Danio rerio: one gene and its partners. Each later gene encodes a partner of the first gene's protein in a complex. Links are inferred from orthologs where the notes say so. Each region holds a gene or a part of one and is shown on either strand. Other genes may lie near its edges. The genes, in order: ercc2, polr2j and ciao1.

The links.
Region 2: ercc2 (region 1) and polr2j share a complex: the UniProt entries of both Homo sapiens proteins name them as parts of the TBP-based Pol II pre-initiation complex. The link is inferred for Danio rerio from reciprocal best matches to the Homo sapiens genes ERCC2 and POLR2J.
Region 3: ercc2 (region 1) and ciao1 share a complex: the UniProt entries of both Homo sapiens proteins name them as parts of the MMXD complex. The link is inferred for Danio rerio from reciprocal best matches to the Homo sapiens genes ERCC2 and CIAO1.

Annotation. Positions count from the first base shown.
Region 1 is NC_133190.1:26,156,231-26,160,342, forward strand, and holds the start of ercc2 (general transcription and DNA repair factor IIH helicase subunit XPD), read right to left. Parts: upstream 2,931-4,112; 5' UTR 2,744-2,930; coding exon 2,739-2,743; intron 2,604-2,738; coding exon 2,504-2,603; intron 879-2,503; coding exon 801-878; intron 609-800; coding exon 546-608; intron 428-545; coding exon 314-427; intron 224-313; coding exon 107-223; intron 1-106. UniProt on the Homo sapiens protein: ATP-dependent 5'-3' DNA helicase. Component of the general transcription and DNA repair factor IIH (TFIIH) core complex, not absolutely essential for minimal transcription in vitro.
Region 2 is NC_133180.1:67,353,799-67,358,069, forward strand, and holds the start of polr2j (DNA-directed RNA polymerase II subunit RPB11-a), read left to right. Parts: upstream 1-1,417; 5' UTR 1,418-1,453; coding exon 1,454-1,506; intron 1,507-3,340; coding exon 3,341-3,430; intron 3,431-3,690; coding exon 3,691-3,865; exon of another isoform or gene 3,866-4,271. UniProt on the Homo sapiens protein: Core component of RNA polymerase II (Pol II), a DNA-dependent RNA polymerase which synthesizes mRNA precursors and many functional non-coding RNAs using the four ribonucleoside triphosphates as substrates.
Region 3 is NC_133183.1:6,290,811-6,294,334, reverse strand, and holds the end of ciao1 (probable cytosolic iron-sulfur protein assembly protein ciao1), read left to right. Parts: intron 1-85; coding exon 86-281; intron 282-1,561; coding exon 1,562-1,637; intron 1,638-1,966; coding exon 1,967-2,198; 3' UTR 2,199-2,887; downstream 2,888-3,524. UniProt on the Homo sapiens protein: Key component of the cytosolic iron-sulfur protein assembly (CIA) complex, a multiprotein complex that mediates the incorporation of iron-sulfur cluster into extramitochondrial Fe/S proteins.

The DNA of each region.
Region 1 (4,112 bases):
AACAGCAAAAATAGAAAGAAAAAATACACTTTACACTAGAAAAAAATAAAATAAAAAGTAAGAAAAACTGTGCCATGATTGTATATGCTTAGGAAATGTGTCCCACCTCATAAAACTGGCAGACAGGCTGATTTGGGTTACTCTGATGCTGCGCTCGAATATACGATGCTGTCAGACTGTGACATTTTCCATCTACTTCTTTTCCAAAACGCAGAGAGCTCACCTGTAGTCACACATTCAGTACTTTTTAATAAGATCACAGCACAGATTTTACTGAAATCACAGACAAATCTGCCCATTCAGCGGCCTCTACCTCAGGATGAATGCACAGGTTTTTCCTCGAGGAAAGTGCAAGGGCGAGGAAGTCGTTTTTTACTCCCGTTTGCTTTGAGTAATAATCCATCAGTTTCCTTAGCTCCTCCACAACCTGCAGGTAAATGAAAGATGCATAAAATAAAAATTAACATACGACATGTGTATTTAGAAAGCAAAAAAAAATGTATAAAAGGTAATAAACATCTATATCAAGTCAGTCAACAAAATACCTTCTCTATCTCAGGCACCGTGCGAGAGCAGTACACGAGCTTGGTGACTTCTAAAGGGTAAGTCTGTAAGAGATTAAACATTATATATATATATATATATATATATATATATATATATATATATATATATATATATATATATATATATATATATATATATATAATTATATATATAAATCAGGGATATTTTTAAAGCCATCAGACTGTCATTTAATAAAGTATTCAAATATTTAATCGTCGATCAAAATCCGTCACCTTCTGGTAAGCAACGATGAGCGAAAGAAGAGAAATAGTTTTTCCTGTTCCTGAGGGCATCTCCAGAACTCCATGACCCTTTACACACATAATAAAAACAAAATATGAAACAACTATACATAAGACAAACAATTTTTTTTTGTTTTTTATTGCTTTTTACTTTCACTCAGTCATGGCTCTGTTTAACATAAACATCCCATCCAACATCTCAGATAATGCGAGATTACAAAAAATGCATTCATAATCAGACTAAAAATGATGTGGTGAACTTTATTATTCCCACCAGGGGCAATTAAATTAGGGCAGTAGCATCATGATAACCTATAAATCCACACATTTGGTCTTTCTCCCTAATAATATACATTTCAGAAAAATATTCTTTGCAAATTCATATTTATAGGGAAACCATAATAGCATCCAATGACTTTTAAAGTACAACACTGTTCACTGTACAAAAAAGATTGTTTTGAAGTCATACTTACATAGGATTTTAGACCAAATATTCAAAGTACCATGGTAAAAAATAAAGGGAGGATGTCACGGAACGATTATGCGAATATAAAACCAACTTTACCTCAATAAAAATATTAGAGTAAAGCTGGTTTTATATTCACACATTCAGTCTTTCTCTCTAAAAATATTTTCAGAAAATTTTTCGGTCCCACTTTATATTAAGTGGCCTTTACTAACATGAACTTACACTGAAATTGAATCATTCGTTACACTTTACTTAATGAGTAAATATATGATTTTACATTGTACTTATGCTTGATTAAATATCTGCATGTAATTACATCTGTAATTAAATTCTGTAAGTACATTTATAATTACACTTTTTACCTGAACCAACTCTTAAACCAGCAAACCTTAAGACCACATTTCACTATACAAAAAAAGATTGCTAATGTTGTTTTGAAGTCATACTTACCTAGGATTGCAGACCAAATATTCAAAGTACCATGGTAAACAAAAAGGGAGCATGTCACTGAACAAATGTGTGAGTATAAAACCAACTTTATCTCAATTAAAACAGTAAAGTTGGTTTTATACCCACACATTCAGTCTTTTTCCCTAATATCATATTTTTAGAAAAATATTTTAGCAAACTCTAAATAGGGAAATCTTATTACCATGACTATCAAAGTACAACATTGTTCACTGCCTAAAAACATATAGCTAATGTTGTTTTGAAGTCATACTTTAATAGGATTTCACTCTGAATATTCAAATTACCATGGTAAACAATAAAGGGAGCATGTCACTGAACGAATGTGCTAATATAAAACCAACTTTACCTCAATTGTAAAAATAACGCTGTAAGAAGGAACAAAAAATACACTTTAAATTAGTTGTGTATCAACTATAGATGCATCTTTTGGCCTATGTCAAAACATCCAGCCACAATGTTAATATAGATCACTTCAATGTGGTGATATCTTTGGCCCATGAACATTTTCTGCTTGTTTCAAACTATTTCATAACTGTAACATGAGACAATTAAATCATAATTTAATGTTAAAACCGCTATCATGACATTATTTTACAATATATGGCTCTTTTTAAAATCTCAGAAAGTATGGACATTACAAATGGAAAACATGAAATACATTGAGACCATTGTTTTGGTTTACATCCCTGAAAATGGTCTATGTTGTTACATGATACAACATTAGTTTAATGTATGAGTGTCTGTGTATAAATACCTTTGCATCCAGCGTCCTCTTCAGCTCAAGCATATACGAGTATTGTTCGGGATAGATGTAGTCATACGGAAAGTAGACTAATAACCCGTCGATATTCAGCCTAATAGGATCAAATAGACATTAACGTTAGAGGAAAAACAAAACTTGTGTTAAATGAACAGCGGTTTGGGCCATTACCAGTCTGCAGATTTGCAGCAATGCTAACGTTAACAGTTAAAATTTACCGTTTACTTACTTCATGTTTGCTGGTATTGTTTCTCTGCAGCACTTAAGTGTTTCTCGTATTCAGTTTTGTATGTTTCCACACATTAATATAACTGTCATGAACGCATTACACAAAAAGACTTCTATCGAGGTACACAAGCGATCTCGGTAGCGTAAAACGCTGTCGCAGTGAAAGTGCGTAATCTATTTTGCTTAATTGATTGGTTGTTCGCTTCAAAGCCCGCCTTATCCTGTCAGCTCATTGGATGACACGCACGTCATGTCAATCCCTTGACGGAAGTACATTTGTCACCATTGGGGTTAATCAAAAAATATATATATAGAAAAGAAGTCCGCACTAAACTTTCGCTAAAATTGTGTAGGTTGTAATTTTCTTCACTACAAATATGACTGATTTTTTAAAACAAACAACAGTATTTTTTTCATGAAAAGTAAAATTTGATCAATTAAAAATATAGCCTATCACAGATTACACTAAATTATACTGTATTTTAAATAAACAAAGAAAAAAGAATGAAAAAAGCTAAGAAAAACGAAAAGCAGGTACAATTAGAGTGCATTGTAAACAAACAAGAAAAAAATAAAAACAAACAGAAAAGAGAAAAGCAAGTAGAGTACACTTAACTTACATTCATTCATTTTCCTTCAGCTTAGTCCCTTTATTCATCAGAGGTTGCTAAAGCGGAATGAATTAAAGATCTGAACTTCCCATCACTACTGTGTGTCTAACCTTAGAGGCAGCCATGCACACGATTTTACTTAAGGCTATCTTGTGGGCTGTTGTATTTGAATTTGAAGATGAGTAGGTGGTAGTGGTAGATGATAGTGGTCATGTGTCCTGTGAAAACATGTTTCAAAAAATTATTGTTGAGTTTTTATTTTACAATATTTATTGTATTTTGTACAATATTTATTGATTTTGAATCTTGTACATAGCAAATATCCCAATGTGCAAAAATAAATAAATAAATAAACAAAACTAAGCAACTATAAAATATGGAAACTAATAAAAACTAGTAAATCTACCTCTAAAAACTAATTAAAACTGATTTTGAAAACAAAAAGTCAAAACAAAATAAAAACTAAAACCAATAAAAAATCCAAAACTATAATAACCTTGCTGTGGAGGAAACCCACGCGAACAAGAGAAGAACATGCAAATTCCACACAGAAATGCCAACTGACCCAGCTGTGCTTCGAACCAGCGACCTTCTTGCTGTGAGGCGACAATGCTAACCACTGAGCCACTACTACTAAGCCCCCCTTCTAAAATGACATTTTTTAATACATATGAGGGGAAAAAAGAGAAAGAACCAAAGAAATGAGAACATTTTTCATTATTAATACAGGGGCATATTTTATATAATATATTTTATTTACATAA
Region 2 (4,271 bases), on another chromosome or scaffold:
ATATTTGCTTCAAATACATTTATTTAAAAAATTCTATACTTAGATAAAAGGAAATTATATATCCATTAAATAATATCCATTAAATAGTTGTTAAACAGTAAGTTGCATCATTTGGATCTTTGAAAGGCCATTGAAAGAGCAAAGATAATATATCTTGTTTTATTTTTATTTATTTTTTTACATATTTGCGGATATTGCAATGAAAACTGGAAATGTCATTTTAAAAATACTATCTTGTTACCTAAATTACTTCATAGAGGTAATTTGTTCAGTGCAAAATTTCTGATATTTGTTAAGTTGAGGGAGTTTGATAAGTTTCTTTGAGCTATTAGCATGTACAGCGTGTGGCTCAATTTCATTTACATGCAAATATTATGCTAGAAATTCAGTCCTGTTACTTTCAGTCCTGTTACTTATAAGAGTTACAGGAATGAGTAACAATAATGAAAAGCATCTTCTGATACTTAATAGAATGAACAGTTTTTATTATATTATTCATCTGATTTCCACACGTTATGGATGGAAATGTTGAAGTTGTAAGATATTTAAAGGAATAGTTTTCTCAGAAATGACAGTTCCACTACATGACACACACACACACACACACACACACACACACACTCTCTCTCTCTCTTTTCACTTACTGATTTGGTTTTCTTGTGAAAACTTTTTTTCCCTACAATTTACTCAGTTAAGTTCTGTACATCATATACTTAAATGTTAAGTAAATTATGTTATAAAAAACATGAATTTCAGGCCACAGTTTTCTTGAAAAAAGGGAAAGTGCCTTTGCATTCCTATAAAAATACATTTTTTTATGTAAATCGTGATTTTTTAAATACAAAAATCAAATGTTTGAAAGTGTAACAAACCATATTTTAAAAAGAAAATCACTTTCTTAAGAGGAAAACAAAGTAATTACCTGATAGACTTTTATTCATGCTTTTTAAAAGACTCGTTAGTTTGGGTAATATGACTGAAAAATGCATTCATCTGCCACATAATACCTTGTAAAAACTCAAATTAAGTCATTTTATGTGGACCAATACATATTTTGAAAAGTTAAGTATGTGTGTTATTAGATTCCGCCTTGAAAAGTAATTAAAAGAAGTTTAATTGTAAAGAGTTACAATAAGCAAAATGCATCCATTCGGTGGAATGGTCAATAATTACTCCCATGCTAATCACCATACTCAACTTTTACAAGCGATGGTCAAAATTAGATATATAATCCAACCATTTTGACCCAAAGTGTATTAAAAGACTCATAATAAAGGTACCTCTTAACTCTGTCGTTGTGTTGAAAATACTACGACCAGACTACGACACAATACTGCCCCCGGTCGTTATTCACTCAATATTACCCTTTTTCCCATGTCTTCCCATGTCATGCGCATGCGCAGTACAACGTGCGTCCATTAGTAGCATCGTTCGCTGCTGGTTTTGAAGCAGGATGAACGCGCCACCAGCATTCGAGTCTTTTTTGCTGTTTGAGGGAGAAAAGAAGTAAGTGCACTATAAAGCTGTCTTTGCTATTCAATTATACTAACATATTATACTAGCCTATAATAAGAGTAAATATTCAGTTGGAAGACAGGAGGGAGATTCAAAAGGCTTTAGCTTGTTGGCTAACGACAGGTTACGTTAGTCAGTCCATCTGAAAACAAAATACAACCTACTTCTGTTTACAGAGTGCTTTATACAATACAGCTTAAATCATATCGACGATTGATTCATTCACTATTTAAGTTTATTGTTCATTATTTTTGTATAAACGAATACAATTTCAGATGCTAAGCTGTTTGAATAAGACATGTAATACCAACATTTAGCTCAATTAAGTTTAAGTTGGTTAAGTGACCTTGTGAATCTAAATAAAAGTATTCGTTTTTAGACGTACTTTAGGTCATGATACCATGACATTTTTTGAATACCATGTAAATACCATAGTACATGTACAGTAATTGGTCTCAGCATCAAATTAAATAACAGAGGTAATACGTAACGTTAACATATAAAATTTATGCAAATAAGGTGTGCTTTAATGTTTTAAATAACTTTTAACTATAAAAATAAGATTGTCAAAAATATTAGTAAAATAACCTTCCATATAAATATGAATATATTTTTTAAAAAGTAAACCTTTATTGTAATCTACATTGATTAAAATATGCAGTAGTAAGTGCTTAAACTAAATTGTTTTGCCTTGTAAATGCCTCTTTCTGACAGATATGCTTGACAAATTTAAGTAAAATTGGTTTTGTATTCGCACATTTGGACTTTCTCCTTAATATAATTTCAGAAAAGTTTTATTTGCAAATTCTGAATAGAGAAATCATTAGCAGCCAATGACTATCAAAGTACAACATTGTTCAGTCAGGTAAATAGTACTTATGTTTTTGAGAAGTCATATTTGCAGGCTATTTTAGACTGAATATTCAAAGCAGTGTGATAAACAATATATGCACAGTGTTACAAGGTTTCACTGTTCAAAAATTACCAAATGTCTGAATATAAAACCAACTTTACCTCAATGCTTGACAATACTTTTTGGCATAAAAAAATATTTTTGCACTGAATGACATTTAAGTGAGCATCTTCTCTTAATAAGGGTTAAAATTATAGTAGGATAAAAAGATGATAAATATGATGATAAAGCTTATTATATTTTGTATATTTACCTAGAAAAACATTTTTCATCTCTGATCTACTTAACAAAGTGACATATTACTGCCAACATTGTACCATGATACCACAGGGTCTGCGGGGTCTTAAGAACTATTAAAAGTTGATTAATCAATGTAGAGAAATGTAAGGCCCTTAAAAAGTATTTTAAAATCCTAAATGCTATTTTGCAAGGTGTTAAATTTTATATAATTTTGATTGTGCAATGTAGGTATGGTTGTATGCTAAAGTTTGCCTGAATTAAATCTAAATGTCAGGATGCTGTGTAGTTTATGAAATCAATGAAATCCTGCTAGATTTGACATCATGCAGTTTTGTTTACTGCAGTTATCAAGGAAAAACCATTATTTCTGCAGTTCTATAGGCACCAACCTGCTGAATTAGCTATATTTAATAGATTTTAATTCAATATAATTATGTATATCAATATGTAAGTTTTTTACATTAATATTTAATAAATATACTGTAAGTTAAAATCTCTTTATTGTTTCCGATTGAAATCTTAAGTGATAATAAGGTCTTAAGGTCTTGTATGGAGAGAGTCTTAAAGGTATTGAAATTCACTCTCTGGTTCCTGTATATACTCTGTACCAAAACATTACTATTTTTAAAAGTAAGGGATTGCCTAAAATTTCTGTTCAACTTCTTTTTACAGGATCACAATAACCAAAGACACCAAGGTGCCGAATGCATGTCTGTTTACTCTAAATAAAGAGGATCACACACTGGGAAACATCATCCGATCGTAAGAGACCAAACTTTTGATACACTAAAACATTTTCAGATATTTATGTGGGTTTTGTAATCATCCTATATTTACATTAGAGCAATTCCATGCAAATGTCAACCTTGTCATGAAAAAGATTAGGTTTTAACTCTGTGGTTAGTTGTTTTGGAAAATATAAACAGATGTTTCAGTATAATGTTAACACATACTTTCTCTGTGAATGTGTTTTGAGATCTTACTGCAAATGTCACATTTGTAACATTGGAATTGCTCATTAGGCAGTTGCTGAAGGACCCCCAGGTGCTGTTTGCTGGATATAAGGTTCCTCATCCTCTGGAGCATAAGGTTGTGATCCGCGTTCAGACGACACCAGACTACAGTCCTCAGGAAGCCTTCACTAATGCCATCACGGATCTGATCAGTGAGCTGTCCCTGCTGGAGGAGCGATTTAGGGTATGTTCATGTGTTTGCATTGAGTAAAAAATGATTCCAGAACAAGCGCTCCTGAAAAAAATGCACTCTATAGCAGCACTGCAAAAGACAATTGAGGTAAAGTTGGTTTTGTATTCACACATTCAGACGTTCTACTTAATATTATAATTTCAGAAAAGTATTATTTGCAAATTCTAAATAGGGAAATCATATCAGCGTCCAATGGCTTTCAAAATGCAACATTGTTCATGATCAGTTAAATGGTGCTAATGTTGTTTTAAAGGGCACCTATGGTAACAAATCTACTTTTCAAGCTGTTTGGAAAGACGTGTGTAAGTAAAGTGTATACACCGTCATATTGGGGTGATATAAACACACCCAGTGTTTTTTTTTTTTTTTTTTCTTCAATTTAACAACATAAAAACGA
Region 3 (3,524 bases), on another chromosome or scaffold:
CCATGCAAGCTAGTGGCGACAGCAGCGAGGAAAAAAATTCACCAATTGTCAACACTGACCTGTGTTTTTTCTGATACTTTTGCAGCTTCTCGCATCAGCCAGTTACGACAACAAGATCTGTATTTATAAAGAGGAAGATGATGACTGGGAATGCAGAGCCACGCTAGAAGGACATGAATCCACTGTCTGGAGTTTGACCTTTGACCCTGAGGGACGGAGATTGGCTTCTTGTAGCGACGATCGAACCGTAAAGATCTGGAAAGAGTCGACAACTGGAGATGGTGAGGAGTTTTAGATACAGTTTTGCATAGTTAATCTTAAAGTCTCCGTGAAATCAAATCTAACCGTATTGATTTTGTTAGCTCACTTTGCTAGTTTTGTATAAATTCATTTGTGCATGTCATTAAAAAAAAAAAGTTTGCCCTTCTAATCTAAATTTAAAATCTGAAAATTCCCTTCCTGTTTGTTTTCGGTTAAATTCTTAGATTAGGCCTGTCTGAGGTTTTGGGTGTGGCTAACATACTTAACCACGCCCCTCCAGCTGTCAGTTTTGACAACAAACTGAATTGGTGAGGAGGATGAGTCTGTTGTAATAACTGTCTCCAAACCCTTTCCCCATCTTTCTTGTAATGTAATGTGTATTTATATAGCGCATTTATTGTGTATGGCCTACATCCAAAGCGCTTCACAATCATGAGGCGGGGGGGGGTCTCTCCACACCACCACCAGTGTGCAGCATTCACTTGGATGATGCGACGGCAGCCACAGGACAACAGCGCCAGTGCGCTCACTACACACCAGCTATTGGAGAAGCGGAGAGACAGTGATACAGCCAATTCAGTGGAAAGGGAAGATTGGGAGGCCATGATTGTAAGGGCAGATAGAGGGACTTTGGCCCGGACACCAGGGTTACACCCCTACTCTTTACGAGACGTGCCATGGGATTTTTAATGACCAAAGAGAGTCAGGGCCTCGGTTTAACGTCTCATCCGAAAGACGGCTCTCTGAATGAAATGCCGACTTCACTACATCCAATCAGCTCTCAGAAGAAAAACAAGCCACGCCCACTGATTTCTTATTTAATATTTCGTTTAGCCGCCTTTCCACTGCACACGACATTTGGACACGACTGTCAGAATACGCCCCCTTGTGGCAGTCGCACAGTATTTTCAGTGTTGTCATGCACCATTGGGAGAGGAGCTGTTCTGGCAGTGTCCGAAATAAAGGAGCGTGAAAGCAAGAACCTTTATTCTCTGTGCATTTACATGGTTTAATGAAGGAATGAATACTAGAAACTCAAAGACCGCTACAAATATTGGAGGGAATGTGGAGACAACATTAAAAAATTTATTTTTATTACTTTCTTACTTGCGTTTATGAACAGTTTTTTTTTTAATAGACTTTTTATGATTCAAAAAATAACCAAATAAAGTCCTGTTTCTCTTCTCGCGCGCTCTGACCAGCTTGTACAACACTGGAATACATCACATCCGGTCAGCCGGTCGCATCCGGTCAAGTCGACAATATAAATCTAAGAATTCTGCTTTTATGTTTCTGTTAGGTTCTTCGGATGAGTCCTGGAAGTGTATATGCACCTTGTCTGGATTCCATGGGAGAACAATATATGATATTGCATGGTAAGATGTGCAGTATATATAGGAGCAGAAATGGCTACAGGGTTTCTGTGGTTATCGAATTTGTATATACTGAATAATTAGCCGTCCTATATATATATTTTTTTTTCTAAATTTGTGTTTAATGGAAGGAATTAGTAAAAAAAAAAAAAAAAAAAATATATATATATATATATATATATATATATATATATATATATATATATATATATATATATATATATACACACACCGTAAATACACCTAAATTGTCAAAACAAACTTTTTATTTTGGATGTGATTAATTTTTCCCGAGCACTAATTGTTTTACTTTGTGGTTCTCCCGATTTCAGGTGTCGTCTGACCGGTGCTTTAGCCACCGCATGTGGTGATGATGGAGTGCGTGTGTTCAGTGAAGACCCCACTGCTGACCCAGAGCAGCCCATCTTCGCCCTGTCAGCCCACGTGCCCAAAGCCCACAATCAGGACGTCAACTGCGTGTCCTGGAACCCGAAAGAAGCAGGACTTCTGGCCACATGCAGCGACAATGGAGAGTTCGCCATCTGGAAATACAACTCTGCCTGAGCCGGTGAATGACGCTCAAGTAGACCGAAAGCACTGAATCAGTGGTAGTTCACCCAAAAATGTGAGGTCTGTAATTTACTCACCCTTTACTTGGTCTTTATTCTCTTTCGTCTGTTGAACACAAAAGCAGATATTTTGATGAAAGCTTACAAAAACTGTAGCCCTTGACAACCATAATAGGAAAAACATATACTATGGAAGTCAATGGTTACAGGTTTTCAGCATTCTTCAAAATATCTTCTTTTGTGTTTAACGGAAGAAAGAATCTCAAACAGGTTTGGAATAAGTAAATGATGGCAGAATGCTAATTTTTGGGTGAACTTCCCCTGTAAACTGGTCATAATGTGGAACAATAGCTGTTTTATTCTCACTTTGAGTACTGCAATTGTGCGTTGATGACAGCACTGGTCAAAAAGACAATACACTTTTTATTAAAATCGAATTTATCTGTTAGACTTTTTGATGGGTCACAATTTCTTAACCATATTGATATACTTCAGTTTTGTCTGTAGCTTAAAATGCCTTCAGGGCTTTACTTAAATAAAGCCTGCTAAAGATCAAAAGCAGCTCCTTTTTCAAGTGAATTATCATTTTTAATGCTGTATATTTTGCTGACTTATGTACTTACATTGTCCCAAATGTTTTAAAGAATGTTCAAATCCAGAAAAATTATCAATTTTAACTAGTAAGACTGAGTGTGTGTGTTATGGCGAGTTCAGACTGCATGATTTTAGTTGCCGAAAAATGCCTGAAATCGCAGGTAAATCGGTGCTCTTTCACATGAGTGACAATCACACAGTGTGAACTATCAAGGGCGCAATATGAGAGAATTGCCGATGAGTCATCCGTGAGATATTTGGCATGCTTAATATCTGGCGCTGTCGGTAATTCAAATCATGCCGTGGGAAATGTGTTCTGATTGAAAATAACATTGGCGATCACCTTCAGCCAATGAGAGAGCAGCATCCACTAGTATGGGTAACCGCAGAGAGATTAAAGAGGTTTCAGAATAGCTGATCTGAGTTGGGTCAATCAACTTTGAGTAGATCAACTCAGAGTTAAGGCTGATTTATACTTCTGCGTCAAACACCGGCGTATGCTACGGCGCTGACGCATAGCCCTTCGCCGTGGACGTCGCCGTCACTGACGTGCACCTCTCAAAAAATGTAACTACACGTCGCAACAACGCGTAGCGCAAGCTCTGTGATTGGTCGGCTTGGTATCGCTGATGAGTCGACCGAGAGCCGTGTGAATGGCGCGAACCCAATGTAGCGATTGTTTACAAGTGTGGAGTCCCGTGAAGGAGCTCCAGATGGAAAGTTTTGT